Rhinolophus ferrumequinum: one gene and its partner. The protein of the gene in region 1 purifies or fractionates together with the protein of each later gene. This does not show direct contact. Links are inferred from orthologs where the notes say so. Each region holds a gene or a part of one and is shown in the gene's direction. Other genes may lie near its edges.

What was found. The genes of interacting proteins can lie anywhere in the genome.
Region 2: the proteins of AP2S1 (region 1) and FCHO2 purify together in Homo sapiens (co-immunoprecipitation; 3 studies listed by BioGRID and IntAct, counting the BioPlex papers as one, with this or other methods). This does not show direct contact. The link is inferred for Rhinolophus ferrumequinum from reciprocal best matches to the Homo sapiens genes AP2S1 and FCHO2.

What each region holds. Positions count from the first base shown.
Region 1 is NC_046298.1:42,935,631-42,943,146, reverse strand, and holds the start of AP2S1 (AP-2 complex subunit sigma), read left to right. Parts: upstream 1-4,460; 5' UTR 4,461-4,656; coding exon 4,657-4,659; intron 4,660-7,516. UniProt on the Homo sapiens protein: Component of the adaptor protein complex 2 (AP-2). Adaptor protein complexes function in protein transport via transport vesicles in different membrane traffic pathways.
Region 2 is NC_046290.1:46,140,918-46,148,328, forward strand, and holds the start of FCHO2 (F-BAR domain only protein 2), read left to right. Parts: upstream 1-4,411; 5' UTR 4,412-5,097; coding exon 5,098-5,130; intron 5,131-7,411. UniProt on the Homo sapiens protein: Functions in an early step of clathrin-mediated endocytosis. Has both a membrane binding/bending activity and the ability to recruit proteins essential to the formation of functional clathrin-coated pits.

The sequences.
Region 1 (7,516 bases):
TTTCCCAAGCACTTGATATTGCCTGTCTTTTTTTTTTTTAATTTTTATTGGAGAACAGTGTGTTTTTCCAGGACTCATTAGCTCCATGTCAAGTCATTGTTTTCAATCTAGTTGTGGAGGGCACAGCTCACTGGCCTATGTGATAATCTAACCAGCAACCTTGTTAAGAGCACCGTGCTCTAACCAACTGAGTTAACCGGCTGCCCCTCTTGCCAAATTTTTTTTTTAATTTTTGTTGGGGAATATGGGGAGCAGTGTGTTTTTCCAGGACCTATCAGCTCCAAGTCAAGTTGTTGTTTTGTTTTGTTTTTCAATCTAATTGTGGAGGGCGCAGCTCAGCTCCAAGTCAAGTCATTTCACTCTAGTTGTGGAAGGTGTAGCTCACTGGCCCATGTGGGAATCAAACCGGCGACCTGGGTGTGATGAGCTCTGCGCTCTAACCAACTGAGCCATCCGGCCGCCTCTCTTTGCCCATTTTTTGATGAGTTGTTGAGTTGTAGTTCTTCATGTACTCTGGATAATAATCCCTTACCAGATATGTGTTTGCAAAGATTTTCTCCCATTCTCTGGCTTGTCTTGTCACTCTTGATAGTCCTTTGATGCAAAATTAAAGTTTTTAATTTTTATGTTCAATTTACATTTTTTGTTGTTGCTTATGCTTTTGGGATCACATAACTTTTAAAAGAAATATACTCTTTACTAACAATTGTCACCACAATAAACTTTAATTTAAAAGAAAAGAAATATATGACAGAAATTAAGTGGTCAAACTTAATATCACCAAGGATGAAACCAACCAACATCACATGCCCCCAGCCGGATACTCTAAGAAGGACACGGCATCACTTATGTGATATTCCTGACAAAAAATGTCAAACCTGGATCTAATCATGTAGAAACATGGACTCTTAGAAAATGCCAACCTCTTGAAATACTAACAAGACAAGGGAACTGTTCCAGATTTAATAAGGCTAAAGGAACGTGACAGTTAAATACAACCTATGATTCTGGATTCAATTGAACAGAAATCAGATTTGTGTACCAATTGTTCCAGATCCTGGAACAGAAAAAAAAATCTATAAGGAATATTACTGAGATGATCAGGGATATTTTTATATGGACCTATATTAGATAGTAGTGTAGTATTAATATTTTTCGCCTTTTAAAAAAGTGCTTATTTATGTCAATTACAGTTGATACTCAATATTATTTTATATTAGTTTCAGGTGTGTAGCACCTGAATGTTAAACATTTATATAGCTTATGCAATGATCCCTCGATTAGTCTAGTACCCACCTGGCAATATACATAGTTGTTGAGACATTATTGACCATATTCTCTATTGCTGTACTTTACATACCTGTGACTATTTTGTAACTACCAATTTGTACTGATTTTTTTATTAGTTTCAGGCGTACAAAGCAACATAATAGTTAGACATTTAAACCCCTCATAAAGTGATAACCCACCTTCCAAGCTACTACCCCTCTGACATCTTATATAGCTGTTATAATACCATCGACTTTCTTCTCTATGTTGTACTCCACATCCTGTGACTATATATACCTATATATTTAGTTATAGTTGACATTCATATTATCCTACTTCAGCTTCAGGTGTATAGCGCATTGGTCAGGCATCTACATAGTCTATGACGCGATCCCCTGATAAGTCCAGTGCCCATCTGACACCTTACATGATCTTTGCAACATTGTTGATTATATTCCCCATACTGTATTAACTACCAATTTGTATTTCTTAGTGCCTTCACCTTCTTCACCCTGCCCCCAACCCCATTCCCATCTATCACCCCTGACAGATCTAGTGCCTATCTGATGCCATACCTAGTTATTACAGTATTGTTAACTATATTCCTTATGCTATACCCTACATCGCCATGACTACTGTATAACAACCCATTGTACTTCTTAATCCCTTCCCCTTTCACCTGTCCTTAACCCCTCTCCCATCATAAAAAAGTCCCTCTAAGATTCCTTGTAATACTGGTTTGGTGGTGATGACCTCCTTCAGTTTCTTTCTTCTCTGGGGAGCTCCTTATCTGTCCCTCAATTCGAAATGACAGCCTTTGCTGGGTAGAAACAATCTTGGTTGTATGTTGTTGCTTTTTCATCACTTGGAGTATTTTTCTGCCACTCCCTTCTTGCCTGCAAAGTTTCTGTTGAGAAATCAGCTTGACAGTCTTATGGGGGGCTCCCTTATAGGTAATTAACTGCTTTTCTCTTGCTGCTTTAAGATTCTCTCTTTGTTTTCAATCTTTGGCATTTTAATTATGATGTGTCACGGTGTTGGCCTCTTTGGATTATCTTGTTTGTGACTCTCTGTGCTTCCTGGGCTTATATGTCCATTTCCTTCACCAGGTTAGGGAAGTTTTCTGTCATTATTTCTTCAAATAGGTTTTCAATTCCTTGCTGTCTCACTTCTCCTTCTGGTACCCCTATAATGTGACTGTTGGTACACTTGATATTGTCCTAGAGGCCCCTTAACCTCTCCTCAATTGTTTGGGTTCTTTTTTCTTTTCCTGTTCTGGTTGGGTGTTTTCTGCTACCTTATCTTCTACATTGCTGGTTGGATCCTCTACTTCATCTAATCTACTGTTGATTCCCTGTAATATAGTCTTTGTTTCCATTATTGTATCCTTTATTTCTGACTGTTTGTTCTTTTTTATGGTTTCCATCTCATTTTTATGAGATCACTGAGCATTCTTATAACCAGTGTTGGAACTCTGCGTCTGATAGATTGCTTATCTCCGTTTCACTTAGTTCTTTTGCTGGAGCTTTGTTCTGTTCTTTTGTTGGGACATGTTTCTTTGTCTCCCCATTTTGGCTGCCTCCCTGTGTTTGTTTCTATGTATTAGGTAGGGCTGTTACATCTTCCAATCTTAGTAGAGTGGCCTTATGTAGTAGGTGTGCTGTGGAGTTCAGTGCCACAGTCTTTCTGGTGATCTGAGCCACGCACTCCAGGTGAGTCCCTTGTTTGGGTTGTGTGTGCCCTCCTCGTGTAGTTGAGCCTTGGTTGATAATTGCACATCAATGTGAGGGACTGATTCTTAGGCTCACTGATTATGAGGATTGGCCTTGACTATAGTGGAAGAGCTGTTGGCAGGGGCTGATCCTACAGAGCAAGATCTGCCAGTGTAGTATTACTATTTAAATTTCCTGAATGTATCATTGTATGTTTATGGAGGAGACGTCTTTGTTCTTAAGAGGAATGTTGAAGCATGAAGCCTTTTGGGATGAAATAGCATGATATTTGCAACTCACTTAAAATGGTTCAAATAAATATAGAGAGAGTAAATGTGGCAAGATATCAACAATTAGTGAATCAAGATGAATAATACATTGGAGTTCATTGTGCTAATACTACAACTTTTTGTAGATATGAAAACTTTCTATGCAAAAAGTTGGAGAGATAAATAAAAAGAAAAATCAAATGACACACTGTATACGTGTCACTCTGCATCTCCCTTTGTTTCTTCAACAACATGTCCTAGGGATCGTCCAAGTCAATGCACAGAGATCTTGCTCACTCATCGTAACTCTCGTTGCATAATATTTTATGTGACTGCATGTGATTGAGTTTTCCTCTATTGATGCATATTTTGTCTCTTTCCAATTTTTCCCTATAACAAGCATGCTGTAATGACATGGCAAAGGAGAGAATCTTTCCAGGGTCCATACTCATACTAAAGTGCTGGGACTAGTCCTTTCCGTCTATTTCTGTGGAATGTCACCTCAGGCTCCAACCACCCAGGCTGTGAGATTCCTGGGGGCAGAGACAAAGTCTGTGCCCCTGCTTGAGCACTCTGCCTGCCTTGCCTTCCCCAGCCCCCACCTACGATAATCATTGCTTGGTTAATTTCCACTCATCTTCGGATCTCGGCTCAAATGCCACTCCCTCTGGGAGGTTTGTCCCTAAGTCTTCACCTAGACTAGGTGCCTCCGCTATAAGCAATTGTAGTAGTCAGGTTTCAGGATAGACTGCAATGATTCTAACCTGGTATTCATATCCCCTCCTACACTGGATAGGGCTGATTTGTGTACCTGTAGGACATTGCGGAAATAACAGGGTGTGACTTCTGACTCCCAAAATGCTCATATGCTACTGTCCGTCTTCCACAGAGAAACACTCAAGGTATTTTAAACAAAGCACTAAGTGAGCACCGAAAGACAGTTACATTTCTAGCTCCCCCAAACGCAGTTTCTTATTTAAAACTACTATTCCCAGCATGCCCTTCTTTCCTTGAAAGTGGTGCGGGGGCGGGGGGCGGGGGAAGGAAGGGTCTACTAGAACTACATTTCCCAGAATGTAACGCCCAACGTGCATTTCGGGAATTGTAGTCTTCTGAAGAAGTGCACCGACAACTCCCGGCATGCATTTGGAGCATGACCCGTCTGGTGGGAAACGGACAGGAGCGCGCCAGCATGTTGGAAGAATGATCGTGTCTTCCACTGGCCTGCCGCCCGAACGAGCAAACCCATTCTTGGGACTACAATTCCCAGCGGGAAGTGCGCGATAGGGCAAGAGGGTTCCTCTGCCGGAAGTCCGCTCTAGCCCTGGGTCCTCCAACTGCTTCCAGAGCCGGAGCCGCCCAGTCGCCGCGGGACCGGGCCAGCTGGGGTCCGGACGGGGGTCGCCATGGTAACGGGGCCGCGCTCACGCTGGGGACAGGAGGAGGGTGGGTCCACGTGCAGATACTGGAGGCTCGGCTGGGTACTGACAGTCGCCCCCCGCTGCTGTGGCAATGGTCTGGGCCGGGCGCGGGCTCTCGGGATTGGGACCGGTCACAGGCCAGAAAGGGGGGAACTGAATGGTAATTCTGGGCGCGGGGGGGTGTACCCGAGACTGGAGGCTAGGGACATTGAGATCAGGTGTCAAGGGGAGAGGGTTGTGCGGGTGGGAGGACATTGGTGATGATTGGGGGGCTTTGAAAACGGAGGCAACTGACAAAGCAGGGTCTCGGAGGTGGGGAGAAGGAATTGGAGGTGGGATGGAGGTGTCCTGAGATGAGGGCTCTCTAGGAGTGTAGCAGGAGCGTGGGAGAAGAATAAGAGACATAGGGATAGAGAGAAGGGGTCTCTAGAGGCAGGAAGCTGGCATTACAGGCGGGAGAGGGGGTGTTGAAAACGAGCGAGATACTGCTGATGAGAGATAATCCCAGGGGAAGAGACTGGACAGTGGAGACGGGAAGTAGACAACTGTAGGGAATGGGTTTAGAGTCGGGGAAAGTGCTGCAAAGGGGGAAGAAGGCTTGGAGGTAGGGAGTGGATACTAGAAATGAATGGGGCGCAATGGAACAGGTCTTTCCAAGGAGAGCTGAGTTGGGGGGGTCGGATTAGGCATGGAAATGAGAGATGGCGTTTGTGGAGCAAGGACGGGCCATTGGATTTAGCACCCGTCCCCGGGTATGGCTTTTGAACCATAAGAAAGGATTTCTTTGGGCAGGAAGTAGGGAAAAAGAGATGAATGGGGGGTGGTGTCAGAACAGCTTTGCCTCAGCTCCAATAGGTTTGCTTCCTGGTCTCCTTCCTGTATGCCCATATATCCCGGCTCTACCCCTAGGCTGTGGCTGCCTGAGGTGGGTCCCACCCACCTCCACCCCAAGCCCTTTCCCTTCCTGACCAGCACCCCTGCCCTGCTAGGAAGTGGTTTTCCCTAGCCTCAGCAGAAGGGATTCTGGAAGGAAAGTGCAATATCCTGTTCCCAGCCAGCTTGATTGGTTGGGGTTAGGGGAGAGAGTATATGGAGAAAGGCTTAGGAAAGAGAATGGTCTTTCATGAAAGGGTGGAGACTCCCACAAGGCAGGGGTAAGGGGGTTCAGAACAAAGCCATTGGACTCCCAGCTCTGCTTGCTGACTGTGAGACTTCTTCTCTGAGCCTCAGTTTCTTCATCTATAAAATGGGCATAAAGCATGCCTGTCTCAACCAGAACTGGGCTCAAAGGCAGCCTTCCTAGCTGGGCCATGATTTTCTCAAAGTCAAATGATGATGAATTATAATACGAAGAACTAATACTAACGAGTATATGTCACTTAGTATGGGCTAGTCACTATACTACACCCCTTATGTTTATTAAGCTGTGCAACGGTCTTATGAGGGAAGGACTCTCATTATGTCTGTTATACAGAAGGGGAAACTAAGGTCCAGAAAGGTTAAGTGGCTTCCCATGAACACAGTGAGCAGTGCCAAGATTCATTCAGACTCTAGAGTTTGTGTTCTTAATGTCCCTCAATCATAATAATAGCTAATTTTATTGAATGCTTGATAGGTAGTAGGCACCCTGCTAAGCAAGCACTCCTGGCATTAACTCCTTCAGTTTTCTTAGTAGCCCTGTGACGGTTGACCTGGCATTTTAGAATCATACAAACAATTTTCCTAGTAATCATAGTGGACACTGTGTATTATCTGAACCAGGCACTACTCTGGGTACTTCTCAGATGTTGTTTGTTCCTCATCACACCCTTATATGGCCCTATTTTTTAGGTGGATAAACTGAGGCACTAAGCAGTCAAGTCACTTAGGAAGCAGCAGATGCTTTGGAAAACAGTTTAGCAGTTCCTGGAAAAGTTACACGTAGAACCCAACAAGTCCACTCCTAGATGTCTACCCAAGAGAAATGAAAACATGTCCACATAAAAACGTATACACAAGTGATCTTAGCAGTATTCTCAGAATCACCAAAAAGTGGAAACAGCCCAAATGTCCATCAGCTGATGGAAAGATAAACCAAACGAGATTTATCCGTACAGTGGAATATTATGCAGCCATAAAAAGAAATGAAGTGCTGATATATACTACTACATGGATGAACCTTGAAAACATTATGCTGAGTGAAAGAAGCCAGGCACAAAAGGCCATATATGGTGTATTCCACTTATATGAAATGTCCAGAACAGGCAAATCCACAGAGACAGAGAGATTAGTGGTTGTTAGGGGCTGGGAGGAGGGAAAGTGACTGCTACTTAGTCGGGGTTTCTTTTTGGGGTGATGAAAATATTCTGGAATTAGATAGTGATGTTTTTTGCACAATTGTATGAATATATTAAAAACCACTTAACTGTACACATTTTAGGTGAATTTTATGGTATGTGAATTATATCTCAATTTTTAAAAAGTAAAAAGAAATAAAGAAGTTGGCATTACCGGACTCAGGCCAAAGAATGACACTCAGTTACTGGGTGCCTGCTATGTTATCAGCCACTGGACTCATTTTATAAACTTGTTTTGCCATTGGGGGAACTGAGGCGTAGAGGGGTGGATCTTTTGTCCAAGGTCAGGCAGACAAGAAGGGGTGCAGCCTTGGGACTCAGGGCCCTGGAGCTGAGTGGAGTTGACCACTTGGTGGAAGAGAAATCACTCTACAGAGGGTACTGGAGGGACCTGGGACGGGAGCACGTGGTCAGGTCGGCCTGGCTGGGCTCTGGGGAAGGCAGGCAGCAGGGAGGCTTGGACCCTATCTCCCTGGTGGCGATGGGTGGGGCTGTTGGGTGTAGCATTG
Region 2 (7,411 bases), on another chromosome or scaffold:
ATTGTCTTCTTCATTATGGGTCTATATTAAATTATTAATTTCTTAATAGCAGAGACAGTCTTTTCAGTGTATTAAGTGCTCAATAATTGTCTATTGCCTGAACAAATGAAAAAGAGAGAGTTAATGAGAGACTTAAAGAAGATTAGGGCTAGTTACATTTATATTCAAACAAAAACAAAGAGCAGTGATTGCTTTTTAAATCTTAGTATGCTATAACGTTAAAATAAAATTTAAATGTTTAACAATTGTCATAATCTTATCACCCTAACACATATACAAGGTGTGATCAAAACATTAGGTGAATGCTGCTGTCGAGTGCCATCCAACGGAAAGGCAGAGATCTTTAATACAGGAAGCTGCACAAAGAACCTTATCAACAGAGTGACAAGTTTCAACTTGTTCGGCGCAGTCAGTTGGGTGTGAGCTATGGTTGAGAGAAGATGAGTTTTAAAGTGTGCTGTAAATCATGGATCATGAGCAATGCATTAACATGAAATGGGCAAACAGTTTCATCCTCCATCATGACAACACTCCATGTCACACATCGCTTCTGGTACGGCAATTTCTATCAAATAAAAACACTATGATGCGTCCTCATCTACCTTAGCACCGGGTCTGGCACTGTGTGACTTCTGGCTCTCCCCCAAAGTCAAAATGACCATGAAAGGTAAACATTTCAATCAATTCAGGACATCAAGACAGACACAACAGCACAACTAAAGATACTCATGAAAGAGGACATCAAGAACTGCTTCAGAAAGTGGCAAGAATGATGAGATAAGTGTGTTTCAAATGAGGGGGAGTATTTTGAGGGGGAATAATGGCAATGCGTCTTTTACTGTAATACTTTTTTAAATTTAAATATTCACTATATTTTTTGATACCTCATATATTTTTTCATGTTTTCTTTTGATTTTTGTCTATTTACATGCATTTTTAATGTATTATCCATGTCATCTTCTACCTTTCCACTTAACATTAATGAAAAACATTTTATATGTTTTTACATTATCATCACCTTCATGACTTTCTATAATTTAGTAATTTCTCTTTTCTTATTTTTGAATCCCCTGTTGGGTTCCCTGTGGTCACCAGCACTGTAACCCCGTGAACAATCTGTCAGGTGTTTTTGTGCTTCTTCCACAGACAGAAAGGGAAGAGAAGAGAGTCCCTGGGAAAGTACATCTCATTCTGGAGGAAGAGATGATGCCCCATCAGGGAGCATACAGTCACTCCCTCAACAGAGAAGAAAGGTGTGCCTAGCAAGTTGCTGTGAACCGAGAAGAGTATGTGGAAGGTGGTATTTAGCTCCATCCTGCAGTTTGATTAACTTGTTTCTACCTCCTTGCCCTCATATAGCTGCCTGCCTGGGTACCATCTGCTAAGCTTCTGCTTTTCTTTCTGTTTTGCATAAAGTGTTTGCTGTCAGTATGCAGCTATTGAGTTGGGAAAAACAAGAGGACACCAGACTTCAGGGATCTGCCTGTTTCTCTTCCGCCTTTTAATGGAGCTTAGCTCTTTGCCACTTGTTATTGTCAAGTGCAAGATGAGAACAGAGAAGGAATACTGCATCTGACACAGGATGCTGCCCCTTAAAGAAATCAGCAGGAAACAAGAGAGATTTATAGGAGCTTCTCCTCTGCTACCCTCATCTTGGAAACAAGTGGAAATACATTCGCAAAATCATATTGAAAATAAATGGGAAAATGAGTTTTACTTTATCATCAACTCTTCTAGAATAGAACTAGTTTTATATGAAGTAATGAGGAAATGACCTTGCTAACTAGATGTTCATTAATGTGCTGTGAGCTGTGAACCCAGGATTGGAAATGGGAGATCAAACTAAGGAATGAAAAGGGGGAAGTTCTCTGGGTGCCTTGCCCTCAAATCTTGGAGCTAAACCATATTTTTTCAACGAGGGAATTTAGATTTAGGTTATTTGTGTTAATTTTTCCTCTCTCATTTGCTACTATTTATCAAGTTATTTTTGAGCAGTGCAGGTATGCTTTGGGCTATAATGTACATATTTGGGACACAGTTTTATGGGGACCAACAATATCCTTTGGAAGCCAACATGTTGATGGCAGTTATAATTAGGGAGAGATCCTAAGAGGAAGACGAATCTGGTGGTGGAGGCACCCAAAAATTGAAAGCCAAATTGTTTAGGGGTCCCTTCCATAGCCAATCTTGAATATTATTATTTCAATTTTATGTTATTTTTATTACAAAAGGTAGCTTATCCTTTAAGAAGTATACCCAAGCCCCAAAGGACTCTTTTGAAAATATTTAAAGTAATGAGAGAAAATTAAATCAAATAGAACTTAAATAATGACATTTTTAATAGATTCTAAGATCTAGCACCAATAAAGAGGATGAGTAAATAAAAGAGTGTCTGTGGTATGGAAAAAAAAGTATGAGTAAAAGAAGAATGGAGTTATTGCCTATTCAAAGTCTCATGCACCTTCACGTTTCTATCATAGGCTCAATCACTCATCTATTCTTTCACTGAACACTTACAAAGTGACTATGAAGTGCCAGGTATTATAGGCAGTGAGTGGAACGCTGTTGCTATCTATGCCAGTTTTTTAATAATTTCAGAATCTTTTGGGATAAGCATAGGTAAGTGTGTGTGGCACAAGTACTTTAAGGTCATATGAGTGAGCTCCCCACTCAGGACCTTATCTATGCTCTACCAGAGTGTGTGTGCATCCCTGCAAACCTCACTTGAGAGAACTGAAGGTGGCTGATACCACCCACATTCTTCTTCTACTACACCATCTTGTCTGAAATTTAGTCACCGTAATCACTATTTACTGTAAAGTTCCACAGTTTAAATACCAGGCAATTATAGCCTATGGTGTTTTGGCCCCAATGAACCTTGTAAATACCCGAAATATATAGGATACTTATCTTTATGGCAGGCCTGCCTATAATATTTATGAGAACCAGAGATAAGAGTATAAATGGAGACCAGTGTACCCCGTGCAAGTATTGAATATGTATTATGCTAAATTGTGTTGGAATCACAAATTGGAACACTAAGAGAAGGAAAGTCTGTGCTTGACACCACTTTGTTACCAAACGATCTACTGCATTCAAGCTGAGAGGAACAATTGGACAAGTTAATTGCCTGTCTTCTTTCTTTCTTAAGTACTTCTGCTGCTCAAGTTGTCTGAACTCCACAGCAGTTTATCTCTGATATGGGCAGCTATACTACCCACAAGTTTTCACTGCAGTTGGAGTCCACTTTTTGTTTTGAAGACATAGGGCAAGAGATAAGAAATGTTTTCCTGGGGCTGAATAATGTTGGTCATGGGAGAGGGTATTTATGGTTGTGGGCCAGTGTTCAACCTTAGAACAGGAGCAGCAGAGGCAGCCATGGGTTTTTAATAAATTAGTGTTTGTGATACGTAAGGTCCTTCAAAGTATGGGATCCAGGATTGGGGCATCTCCTTAGGTCTAAGGGGTTTAGAGCTTAGTGATAGGAATTTAATGCCAAGCTTATTTGCAGGGAGATCTAGATGGCTGTATTTTTTCTGGAATTTCTATAGCATCAAGAAAGATAGCGCTAGCCTAATGGCTTAAAGAATTGTAGCATAGTTCTAAGTATGACTTCCCCCAAAACTAGGTGTCAATGACACTTTTATGAGGACTTTCTAAAGAAAGGGAATAGCAAACATATACCAAAAGAGAAGAGTATAGTGAACCACCATGTTTCCATTACCTAGCTGCAGCAATTATCAACTGATGGTTAACCTTGTTTCAGCTACCCGTATTCACACCCCCTCCCTCAGTGAATTATTTTAAAGCAAATTCTAGATGTCTTATCATTATATCCTATATATTTCTAAAAAATATTCTTAAAAAGATATGACAATACCATTACCCAATTGTTCCCAATTCAACAAATACTTTAGTTTCATCCAGTGTAAGCCACTGTGTGGTTTTTACTTTTGAGAATGAAAGTATGAGTAATTTCCAATGAAGAAATAGTGTTGTGTTCATTATGTTTGAAGCCACAAAATCTGAAGATGTGATGTGTTTGTACAGTTAAAACTACAGTAAATCTGTTTGTGGGGCTTGGCTTCAAGAGCTGCAGATTTGGACCTAGTAGCAGATCTGGTGACAGTGAACTTGAGACCTCTCTACAGGAAGTTTTTTCCCTTAACCTTTGGAAAGCAAGGAGAAGGGGATTTGATTTTTCGGTTATGCCGAGGCGTGTTTAAACTTGTTTCTTTTTCCAAAATGTACACGTTGCTAAGAGAACCACGGACTCACATGTACAAGTCCTGAAAAAAAAATTTTTTTTTAATTGCCTGGGTCAGGGAAATTCGTTCGTTTTGGGTCACGTTCCTGCAGTAGGCCACCCTGGCTGGTTTGCTTGGGGCGTGTTGTTAGAGGTCACGGATTCGGTGCCTGGGTCTCGTGCAGCTCCAGTGACTCTCTGGCGACACTGGGCGTTTCCTCCTTTTCAGGCCTTGGAAAGTTTTGTTTTGGTTCTTAGTTCCTTGTCAAAGAAAGGCACCCTGTTGACCAAAGGTTTCTGAGTGTCCTCCAGGTGGCTAGAGGCCAAGTTTCCCCCATCCCAGCTTGCCCAGACTTGGGTCCCATCCGACTCCTAGAAGGCGGGGGAAGCGAGCCTTGTGACGAGGAAGGGAGCGAGCAGCCAGGCTACCGGCTCCCCCGCCGCTGGCCGGCCCCTGTCTTAGCCCGGTCCCTGAGCCAGTACCCATCGCGCCACAAAGGGTGCGGACGGCCTCCCGAGTGACTCCTCAGGGACCCGGTTCTCCACCATTCCCAAGAGAATACTCAACCTAGCCGCGCCCGCGCTGGGGAGAGAGAAAGAGAGAGAGCAGGCGACTGAAACCCGGGAACGGGGCCCGGCGCGCATGCGCGCACCAGGCGGTGTCCTCGAAGTGCTCGTCCCGCGGCGGCGGCCGCTAGGGGGCGCATGCGCCCTGAAGGGTGCGGGCTGGTCTCCGGGAAGAAGGCGGCGGCGGTGAAAGGCGGGGGCGCCGTGGGGGCCGGGCCGGTGTTTACACAGCGGCGGGCGGGCGCGGACGCAGAACCCGGCGCGGCGGCGGCGACAGCGGCACGATGGTCATGGCGCATTTCGTCGAGAATTTTTGGGTAAGAGAGGGATGCTGGAAATAGTGTGGGTTTCGGAGTCTGAGGCTTTCTGCGCCTGACCTCGGCCTGCGTGCGCTTCGGGCGGTGGCGGCGGCGGCGGCGGCGGCAGATCCGCGGGCAAGAAGAGCGTCCTCGGACCGCCGCCTGCTGGGTCCCGCCTGGATGAAGCCGGGCGACGGATCGGCGGCCGCCGGGACTCGCAGGCTCGCAGTCCTTGCTGGGGCCGGGGGCTGTCATCGCCGCCGCGCAGCCCACCCTGAGGACGCCGAGGGGCCGCCCGCCGCCCGCGCTGGGACAAAGCGCCGGATGGGGCGGGAGACAGGACCCGGCCCCGCCGGAGCTCCAGGCGCCGGGCGTGCTCCGCGGCTCGAGCGCGCACGACGGGCCGGCCGCGCGGCCGCCCCCGGCTGCGCGCTGCAGGCGAGCGTCGGCCCCCGCTGGGTGCGGGGGCTCGCCTCTTTCCCGCACGCCAGCCCCCTTCTCCCCCATTTCCACACGAAATCCCGTGCGGGCCGGGGTCGGATCAGCACTTCCTCTCGGCTTCGCAGCTCGGCCCGTTGGTCTGCGCCCAGGACTTTGCCTCTGGGCCTGTTCACAAAGCGTATAAAAGTTGAATTTAATGTAACTGGATTCCTGGGGCTTAAATGCATCGAGACTTCCCCCTTATCCCCGTGCTGCTTCCCCTTCCTCATTCTTTCCACACCCCCTTCTTAACTCAGTATTAGTATTAGATTCTTCTTGGAGATTGACTTCTCAGTCTCCCTGTGGAGTGTTTTGCTGCAGTTATTGTTTGTTGTCATGGGAAGTACAGTTCAGCCATGTAGAGGAAAGTAATATGTTTACTCAGGTATCTTGGGTGAATCTCATTTTATGTCCTGACAGTTGTAAGTACTACAATTCTATTTTAGTTAAGATTTAGAAATATTTAAAGGAGTAATCTGTCTTAGAAAATTTCTAAGTGTCTCAAGCAAGAACTTGCTTAGTAATCAGATCAGTTCATAGTCTTGAAAGTTCCTTGTTTTCCACAAGCGACATTAAATTTTTTTTATAAAACAGCTTTATTGAGGTACAGTTCACATACACAGTACACCCATTTAAGCATACAGTTCAAGGATGGTTTGTATGTTCATAGAGTTTTGCATACATCACGACAATCAATTTTAGAACAATTTTATCACCTCGGAAAGAATCCCTGTATCCATTAGCAGTCACTCCCCATTTCTCTCCTACCGCAGCCCTTGGCAGCTAATCTGTACATTTCTGCCTCTGTAGATTTATCTGTTCCGGACATATCACATGGGATCATACGCATATATGTGGACCTTTGGGACTGGCTTCTTTCACTTAGCATGTTTCCAAGGTTCATCCAAGCTTCATCCAGTTCATCCGATGTATCATCAGTACTTCCATTTTATGGCCAAATAATATTCCATTGTATGTATATAACACAGTTTATTTATCCATCACTAGTGATGGATATTTAAGTTGTTTCCAGTTTTTGGCCATGATGAGTAATGCGGCTATGAACATGTTTGTACAGGTTTTTGTATGGACATATGTCTTAATTTATTTTGGGATTGGAATTGCTGGGTCATATGGTAATTCTCTGTTTTACATTCAAGGAACTGCCAAACTGTTTTCTAAGTGGCTGCACCATTTTACAATCCCACTAGCAATGTCTGAGGGTTCCAATTTTTTCACGTGCTGGACAACACTTGTTATCTGTATTTTTTATTACAATAGGTCAGTATGAAGTAGTGTCTCACTGTGGTTTTGATTTGCATTTCTCCGGTGGCTAATGATGTTGGGCATCTTCTCATGTGCTTGTTGTCCATTTATGTATTTTCTTTGGCGAAATGTCTGTTCAGATCTATTGCCCATGTTTAGATTGGGTTGTCTTTTTCTTACTGAGTTGTAGGAGTTCTTTTTATATTCTGGGTACATGTCTCTTACTAGATATGTGATTTTGTAAATATTTTCTCCCATTGTTTGGGTTGTCTTTTTCATTTTCTTGATGGTGTCCTTTGAAGCACAGACGTTTTTAATTTTGATGAACTCTTGTTGAAGTCCAGTTTATCTAATTTTTCTGTTATCACTTACGCTTTTGTAATCTAAGAAATCTTTCCCAGACCAAAGTCACAAAGATTTACTTCTATGTTTTCTTTTGTGGGTTTTATAGTTTTAGGTCTTACATTTAGACTTATGATCCAATGAAGTTAAATTTTGTGTGGTGCAAGGAAGAAGGTACGTGTTTCCCCAAAAATAAGACCCAGCCAGCCAG